Linked DNA regions of Neurospora crassa OR74A. Each later gene encodes a partner of the first gene's protein in a complex. Links are inferred from orthologs where the notes say so. Each region holds a gene or a part of one and is shown on either strand. Other genes may lie near its edges.

Evidence for each region. The genes of interacting proteins can lie anywhere in the genome.
Region 2: NCU03836 (region 1) and prk-11 share a complex: the UniProt entries of both Saccharomyces cerevisiae proteins name them as parts of the EKC/KEOPS complex. The link is inferred for Neurospora crassa OR74A from reciprocal best matches to the Saccharomyces cerevisiae genes KAE1 and BUD32.

What each region holds. Positions count from the first base shown.
Region 1 is NC_026505.1:2,566,811-2,571,984, forward strand, and holds NCU03836 (O-sialoglycoprotein endopeptidase), read left to right. Parts: upstream 1-2,213; 5' UTR 2,214-2,486; intron 2,487-2,569; 5' UTR 2,570-2,740; coding exon 2,741-3,805; 3' UTR 3,806-4,086; downstream 4,087-5,174. Other genes in the region: NCU03835 (hypothetical protein), read left to right, coding at 1,154-1,205, 1,421-1,737, 1,830-1,921, 2,005-2,068; NCU03837 (Snf1 kinase complex beta-subunit Gal83), read right to left, coding at 4,160-4,207, 4,276-4,849, 4,927-5,174. UniProt on the Saccharomyces cerevisiae protein: Component of the EKC/KEOPS complex that is required for the formation of a threonylcarbamoyl group on adenosine at position 37 (t(6)A37) in tRNAs that read codons beginning with adenine.
Region 2 is NC_026505.1:1,568,733-1,572,482, reverse strand, and holds prk-11 (serine/threonine-protein kinase BUD32), read left to right. Parts: upstream 1-1,970; 5' UTR 1,971-2,112; coding exon 2,113-3,012; 3' UTR 3,013-3,250; downstream 3,251-3,750. Other genes in the region: NCU04594 (4-carboxymuconolactone decarboxylase), read right to left, coding at 56-99, 153-198, 402-1,043; NCU04596 (gamma-cysteine synthetase regulatory subunit), read right to left, coding at 3,365-3,750. UniProt on the Saccharomyces cerevisiae protein: Component of the EKC/KEOPS complex that is required for the formation of a threonylcarbamoyl group on adenosine at position 37 (t(6)A37) in tRNAs that read codons beginning with adenine.

The DNA.
Region 1 (5,174 bases):
CGCTGCTGTGTATACCCCTCAACTCTCGATTGATGCATTTAGCGATATGGGGCCAGGGCTAAAGAGAAGGATCTGGCCGGGGCGAGGCGTTTGGGTTGCGGCTTTTGCGTAGGTTTGGCGAAGTGGGGAACGGCTCATGTATATATGTAAACAAGTAGTCGTACCGATATCGTGTAGATGGCGGCGGATAGCTGAGACACGCGAGAAGCTGTGCAGCGACAACAGTAATGAGATACCAAAGCAGTAAAATACCACTTCTGGCTCCCATCAGTTGCTTCACGCGGTGTTGTATTGTGCAGTGTGACTGAACCACGAAAGTGGCTATGGCCATCAAGCGTGGAGGCTGGTCTCGATGTCTGTCAAGGCATCTTCGCTTCTGGAAAGCCTGGAGGGCGAACGAAGCCTTATAGACCGGGTGCGTCCGCGAGGTTGTTGCCCAGGGGAAAGCAGGAATGATCTCAGAGATGTTCCGAGCGTTTGGTCATCGGCAGCCCCGAGACAAGTGCTGCGAGCGTATGCATGTGCCACATTTGGGCTTAGGTAACACACGGTGCTGCCCTGGGCCGATGTGCGAATTGGTCGGAGGTGTGCGAGAATTTGCGAACCGGGTGGGCCAATAGGAAACCAGCAATCGAGCTGCGGTCCGACACAGGACGCTTCACAAGAAGACAGGAAGTTGGGAGGACGACAAAAGTGTCGAGAAAGAGAAAAAGGTGTTCCCTCGCGCCCCTGGTAGACCGGGTCGCTGCTTAGCGTAGAGACGGGGGTCGCCCCTTTGGCTTTCGGAGCGACCGTGCAGCGTGCTTGGTGATAAAAGAGTGGGGACGCCTCAAAGAAAGAGGTCTCGCTAGGTACGTAGGTGGAAAAAAAGCTGAGAAAGAGAAAACTCGAGCAGAGAGAAATTGACCGGTCGTTACGATATCGATGCTGGCTTGGACGTCGAGTCTTCCGTTGCCAGGCTTCGGAGTCGAGACCGCTGCTCCTTTTGGTGCAGGACCCTGGCTTCTGGCAGAACTGCTGATCGCCGGTTTTCCGGAACCGAAGATGCCTTGCAAAAAGGGACATTCCGATCTGGTAATCCGCGATTTTGACGTTGGTGAAAACTCGAGCAGGAGAGTTCGAGGGCGCTCTAGAGTGGGATCACCGAGCAGCAATGGTTGGCTGGCTGGCTGACTGGAGGCCAGCTTTGCTGACTTGGTGGCGAGGTTCGTGATTTTGAACCATGAAGCCAGCAGCCCACAACAGCATTTCCCAAAGACTTGGAAAGGCGGAAGAAGAAGCGATGTCCAAAGAAGGTGGAAGACAGAATGGAGGTGTCGAGTGAACAGCTTTCCATGGGTGGTGGGTGGTCCTGTGGTGCAGAGTTCTGGTCAGCCTAGGTTCACCCACAACGGTACCGGACATATCAAGCCCACATCAGACGGGTTGTGCGAGACAAAAAGATGGCCAAAGCAGCATTCTGAAGTCAGACGAACGAGGAAAACACACCTCAAGAGGGAATATGGGTATCTCCATCCCCATAGACTTGGGGCGGTGCTGAATTCACGGCCTCCAATCCGGCCCAGACGGCCCCGTGAGCTCGAAAGCTTGCAAGAACCGAACAAGAAGCAGCCCGGCCATGTTCTGCCGAAGAAATGGCAGGCAAAGGATGGTGAAGACAAGGAAGAAGTCGGCTGGGCTGTTGAAAGAGGCAGGTCTGGCCGTGCGGTTGGGAGGTTTGGGTTTGGCGGCAACGAGGTGAGGTGTTGGGTGATACAGGCTCGGAGGATGGAAGATGGTTGGACGGCTGCGGACTCTCGCTTGGCTGGGAGAATTGATTCTCGGTGCAGTGGGGTCCCGTGCAGAGAGCCCCAAGCCCAGGCTCGGCAGACCCCGAACTGCTCGGAGCCTTTTTGCACTTCCACAGAGCAAGTCAAATCACGTAAGCTCATCTGCACATATTTGTTGCAATGGAACTGTTGGATCAGCTCATGGCGAAAAAGCTAGAAATAATCAAACTTCTAGTGTCTTTTACACAACTCATGCATCCATGGTCACAGTTTGCGCCGTTGCGGCTATATGTGGATAGAAATCGTTGCTACTACTAGCGCACGAGCCACGCTACGTGCCTGCCTTACATAACATTGCATTGCGCATCCAAAGCAACATAAAGGTCCCACTCGACTGTGCACAAGCGGCTGCGGGGACCCACATTTCATTGAACCCCTCATCGACTCCATGGAAGGCTCTGACGAAATCCCATTGCTGATTCCCATGGCGAGGCCGTTCCCTTGTTTTGAGAAGAACAACGGGCGAGAATGGCTTTAAAGCATCGTTACAAGTAGTGAACATGTCGACCGGTTTTAGGAGACGGGATACCGGCCCGCTGGGGGAATAAGTATGTACATCCTCTTTCATCTCGATCTCGAGTTTCGTCACCTTGATCACTACGGCGCGCCTAGCCTAGGTATTCACAGACGCGACGAAATTTTCCCCACTCTAAAAAGGTGCCCCTCCATTATCACTTTCTCCATCTGACATCTGGCATTGGATGTGGCACTGACAACATCCATCCATCCATCCTATTCAGTACGCGACGCGACGCCTATCAACAACCAAAGGATATCAAGGTCCTCGATAAACATCCCCAACGAAATATCCTTGCGAGTTATCTGATACGAAGCAACCGGCTCCCGATTCACCAAGTAACCGAAACCCTCTCCCTCCCTCGCTCTATCCAACAAAGCCCCAACAGCCAACAATGCCCGACGCCAAAGGCCGCCGCATCGCTCTCGGATGCGAAGGCTCCGCCAACAAGCTCGGCATCGGCATCATTGCGCACGACCCCATCACCGGCGAAGCCCTTGTCCTGTCCAACGTGCGCGACACCTTCGTCTCTCCTCCCGGCACCGGTTTCCTTCCCAAGGACACAGCCCGACACCACCGTGCCTACTTTGTGCGTGTAGCCAAGAAGGCGCTCGCCTTGTCGGGGGTCTCCATCTCGGAAATCGACTGCATCTGCTACACCAAGGGGCCCGGGATGGGCGGGCCCCTAACGTCGGTGGCCGTGGGCGCCCGCACACTCGCGCTGCTGTGGGGTAAAGAATTGGTGGGCGTGAACCACTGTGTCGGGCATATCGAGATGGGGCGGGCGATAACGGGGGCGTCGAACCCGGTGGTGCTGTACGTGAGCGGGGGTAATACGCAGGTGATTGCGTACGCGGAGCAGCGGTACCGTATCTTTGGCGAGACGCTGGATATTGCAGTGGGTAATTGCCTGGACCGGTTCGCGCGCACGCTGGAGATCAGCAACGACCCGGCGCCCGGGTACAATATTGAGCAGCTGGCCAAGCAAGGTGGGCGAGTCTTGTTGGACTTGCCGTATGCGGTCAAGGGAATGGATTGCTCGTTCAGCGGAATCCTGGGGCGGGCAGATGACTTGGCGGCGCAGATGAAGGCGGGCGAGCCGGGCCCCGACGGCGAACCGTTTACACCCGCAGATCTGTGCTTCAGCTTGCAGGAAACGGTATTTGCCATGCTTGTCGAGATCACCGAGCGGGCTATGGCGCACGTCGGTAGCAACCAGGTTCTTATTGTTGGCGGTGTCGGTTGCAACGAGCGGCTACAGGAGATGATGGGCGCGATGGCAGCGGAGCGAGGCGGAAGTGTCTACGCCACCGACGAGCGGTTCTGCATCGACAACGGCATCATGATTGCTCATGCTGGTCTATTGGCCTACGAGACGGGCTTCCGGACGCCGCTTGATGAAAGCACATGTACACAACGCTTCAGAACCGACGAAGTCTTCGTCAAGTGGAGGGACTAATGACAAGGAAGGAAACGAAGACGAAGATGACCATTACGACGATACCCCCAAATCCCATAACCTTTACTCTATCCACGGCAGCCACTCTATATGCGCCTCTTGTTGTCCCTTAGTGCCCCCTTAATGGAGCAGGATGCCCATGGACAGTTTGCCGACAACAATTTGCGCCCGCTTCCATAAAGTGTCCTCGTCATCGCTACAGCGTCCTATAGACATTACTTGTAGACATATCTAGAATAGGTCATACTGGGCGGTTCATCATGCACCGCTATTCTACTCATGACTTGCGCTGTTCGTCTAGTAGTGGTAGCCACCAGCCAACTGTACCCAGCTCTGACTACTAGCATTCCAAACTCAGATGCCCTCTGTCGTTGTTGGCTTGTACATGATTGTCGTCACATACTGTACAGTCCGTTAGCATCAACGACTACGTGCAAAAAGATGCAGCTACGAAATACGGGGAGACGAACCTTGTTCTTGTATCTCGTCGTGGCCGACACAGCCAGAATATTATTCTTAATACTGCTAGTAGCTAGATGGTTAAGAACGGTATGGTTGGGCATGTTCAGAACGCTGTTGTCATCCTTGATCAAGGTGGCCGCGTTGAGGATGGGCTTGCCGAGGAAGCCAGGAAGCGCAGGCGGCGTTGGGAGTTTCTCGATGGCGTTGACAGCACTCAGGTAAGGTGGACTTTCCTCGGGTGCGTCGAAGTCGAGTAGATATTGCGGGATCTTGTTCTCGAACAGCTCCGCCGGAGGGACAGGTCGGTCCCTAGGTGCCTTGCTTTCCTCCGTCTCGGACGCGGAGGTTTTGGGCTCCGTAGGTTGCTGGGAATCCTTGGCGGCGCTTGCAGCAGCTGCCTGGGCAGCGGTGCGCCCCACATCATCAGGGCTGACCTCGATGTAGTTGACCAGGTTGTTGCCAAAGTCTACCGTGGTCGGCAAGTCTGGCGAGGTCTGCATTTGCCCGTCAACCAGAAAGCGAACGTGATGTGTGCCCGGCAGGATATTGATAATAGCAGCGAATACACCCGGTCGGCCCTCACTGTTGGCGAGTAGCGGTGTCAGCAAGGCCCCATCCGTATTGAGAGCGAAAGTGGCCGGGATGTAGAAAGTACTTACACCGGGTGTAATCGTGTCTTCCTGTTCCATTGGAAGATGGTGCCTGTCACGTAAACCTTCTCGCCGCCACGGAGCCATTCGAGCCTGGTGGGGACAGTCGGTCTAGTCTTGTCCACCCGTAGCTCCTCCGTGTCTTCTTCGTCCAGAGTTGAGCTGTTACTCAAGTTGGAAGAGCGTCTGGTGAGCGCGGTGAAAGTGTCGGCATCCTCGAGTGGGACCCCAATGTCGGTCGGGGCAATGATAGGCGA
Region 2 (3,750 bases), about 1.0 Mb from region 1:
TGTTCAATTTGTACTGTTCAGGGAGCACCACTATCACCAGGATATATCGCCCTTATCAGTGAGCCGCATCGTCCGGACCAGTGCCGTTTCTCTCTCCAACTGCACAATATGATTAGTATTGGGGTCCCAAAAAGCCACAAGAAAAGACTTACCATCCAGCGCAACAAGGAAACGGCTCACGCAGTTGTAGCAAGCGATCTAGTGAGTCGGTGTTAGCCCTTAAAACTTAGCTCACGACACGGCCTTTTGTTTGCCACCTTCCCGGACTCCTCGACCTTTAAAGGTCTCTCATATCTCACTCTCACCCACACCTCCCTCACCCTTTCCTTCTTCACTCGTCCGCATCTTTCCGAATTTCCCCCCTCATTATGACGACACAACCCATAAAAAACAGTACTCACAATCGCAGTCAACTCCACCACCTCCCTCTCGCTAAACAACTCTCTAACCCTCTCAAACGTCTCATCCCGCACCTTGACATTCCTCGTCATCTCATCCGTCAAGCACACCGCCGCCCACTGCCTCTCGTTCAACCCTCCCTTCTTCTGGTCCCCTTCCTCAATCAGCAGCGGTTCCTGCCTCTTGACCACGCCCAGACCATCCTCGCCCTCGCTGACGCCCGCCTGAACGGCCAGGGGCGCATGGTGGTGCCACTCGTACCAGGCGCCGTTGCAGACGGCCACGCGGGAAATGGCTAGCTCGCGCTCGTCGGCGGGAAGAAGGGTTTGCGTGCGGATGGCGCCCAGGAAGGAGTTCCAGCCGTCGGCGACGGGCGGGGAGTGGAGCAGGGTCAGGTCCAAGGGTTGGAGGGGACGGGGGGCGCGGCGGGCGGTGATGCGGTCGACGATGGCTTGTTCGGCGTCCGAAGAGGTGGGTGGGGGGTTGGGGATGTAGGGGAGACGCATTTTGGTGGGTGGGGTGGTGGTGAGTGATCTGGTGGTGTTGGTGAGTGGTGACGACGGAAGTCGTGTAAGTCGTGTGTAAGAGGATGATAGCCGGTGTGGTAGTGAACTACGGAAGAGATGTTTGAGGGAGATGGACATTGAGTGTAAGATGCAGAAGGGAAGAATAGAAAGAAGAATACGGATAGAATGAAATACAAGCTTGATGACTTGACAGCTGCAATGCACGAGTACTGTGGTAGTATCATCGGCTTGTTGAAGCCGGTGACGCAGGTCCGTACCTGGGGGCCGGCGGTCGGCAGCGGGGGTTGCGGGGAATCTCTTGCCCGCCTGTCTGCCGCTCGGAAGGAGGGGTCGGCAAGTGGACGTGGGCCCGGAGCATCAACGTCAACAACTAAGCCAGCTGATGCGAGGTACCGGCCTGAATATCACAACCTGATCGTCAAAAATATGCGGTTGGATGTTCGAACACCGAGGTATATGTCTTTGACTTCAAATCTCATCATTCGGACTGGCCGTGAACGCTATGATTGTCTAGCCGCTTGGCCGTTGAGGAACATTTGGTCTCATTTGATGCTCTGAAACAGATTCGGCAAATACAATGGGAGATAATATCGCAGTCCGAAGCCGCAGATCCTCCAGATAGTGGACAGGTGAAGACAACCTCACAGATGGACAAAGACTTGGATCGGTTTGTCCTTGCGCAGAAAATCTGGCGCCTGTTTCGGAGTGAGTATCTCCCCTAAGTGACTTTTTGTTGTTGTCAACATATGAAGAACAGTGAAGTTTCAGGAGACGGTAACGATGTGACATTTGTGCAAGTCGAGTAGTTGATCAACGTTGATCTCGAAATATTGGTCAGAGTCGAGATCACTCACCAATCGGCCGCTCATGTGTTGTTGATTCAGCGGCACAGTGTTAACAATATTGCCCTGTGCTTACCTACCCTGTGTGGAGCTCTTAAGTTGTGAAAGCTTGGCACTTTTCCTTTCCCAGCAACAATGTCCGGTGCCCCTCTGCCCCTCCAGCGCAATGTTTGGCAGACAAGGAAGCCCACTGCCGCCAAAACAAAAGTTCGCGATAATCAAACACAGCCCAGGGCACAACGACACAACCTAACCGAAGCGCAACAAACCTCACCAGATACTACCACTCAATCGCACACCCAGCCCTTTACGACGTTGTCAACAACAACAAGTCTGCCAGATTGATGGACCCCTCTCCTCAATCACCCCCCACCAAAAAGCGCAAAATGGCGACCTCAACCTCAACTTCTACCGCCGCCCCCGCGGTTGTCGAAGAACACCAATTCCCCCTCCCGCCGATCCTCACCCACCCCTCCGCCGCCCCTCCCACCCTCATCACACAAGGCGCCGAAGGCCGTCTCTACAAAACAACCTTCTTCTCTCCCGACATCCCCTGCGCACTCAAGTACCGACCCCCCAAGCCCTACCGGCACCCGGTTCTCGACGCCCGCCTGACCAAAGCCCGCCTCGCCTTCGAGGCCAAAGTCCTCGAGCGGTGCCGGCGCGAGGGCGTTCCCGTGCCTGCCGTGTACGCCCAGAACGCGGCGGCGGGCTGGATCGCGGTGGAATGGATTGAGGGTGCGCCGGTGCGAGTGAAGATCAACGAGTGGTTGGGGCAGAGGCCGAAGAATGAGGAGGAGGAAAGGTCAGCCGCGGAGCAAGATCAAGGACCGTTGATCGAGTTGATGAAGAGGATCGGGGCCGCGATAGCGGGGCTGCATAGGACGGGTGTGGTGCATGGAGATTTGACGACTAGTAATATGATGTTGAGGCCACACACGAACAAGACGACGAGTAGCGAGCAGACGAATGGAGTGAGCAAAGAAGAGGAAAAGGCCAAGTTGCTGGAGGGAGACGTGGTGATCATTGACTTTGGCTTGGCGAACCAGAGCCAGTCGGACGAAGACCGGGCGACGGATTTGTATGTCCTCGAGAGGGCGTTCGCGAGCACACACCCCCGGGCGGAGAACCTGTTTGAGCACTTGCTGGAGTCATACAAGCAGAGCTTCAAGAAGGGAGCGTCTGTGTTACATAAGTTGGAGGATGTGAGGATGCGTGGGAGGAAGAGGAGCATGATTGGGTAATGGTCAACACCTTTTTTTGGCGACAACAAGGCGAGAAAAGATACCCATGGATTTATACACATACAAGAACAGTTTTGCTATAATGATGAGTTGGAACAGCGGAGCTCGCGCGCTGGAAAGGAAAGTGAAGTTGCAATACATTCATGCAAATCGAAACGCCATTTTCATAAGCAACGAAGACAACGAACGCAATTGGTATTAATATCAATAGAATCAGAATGCCTGCTTGCCTGCCTGGCCACCCGTCCCATCCAAAAACTCCCTTGGACCCAGCTACACAATATGCAGCAGCTATATAGGTCGGTTTTGTATGCGGTTCTATTACCCCCCCAAGTATTTTAGAGCGAGTGCCTCAGTTCAACTCGGCACCGGCAAAGTATCCCTTATTCTCAATCACGCCCCTATTCTTCACCACAGCCGTGTACTTAATCACCCATTGTGGCGTGAGGTTTCCCGTCAAGCCGCCGCTGCCCGTCGCTGGGTCAGCCAGAAGCCCAGCACCCTGCGGGCCCAGGAGTTCCCTCAGCGTTCCCTCGGGCAAGATGTCCGTGCAATCGCTATGCACCAACAACTCCACATTTTGTTCCTTAGCCAGCGTCGCCAGCGGCGGCGGCACGTTGCAGCAGTTCTTGAGGTTGATTTGGTCCACCGCCGGCGGGATTGCCACGCGCTTAATGAACCGCGCCAGCTTCTCGGTGCCAAACTCGGATATGCCTAGCCTTTTCACCAGTCCCTGGC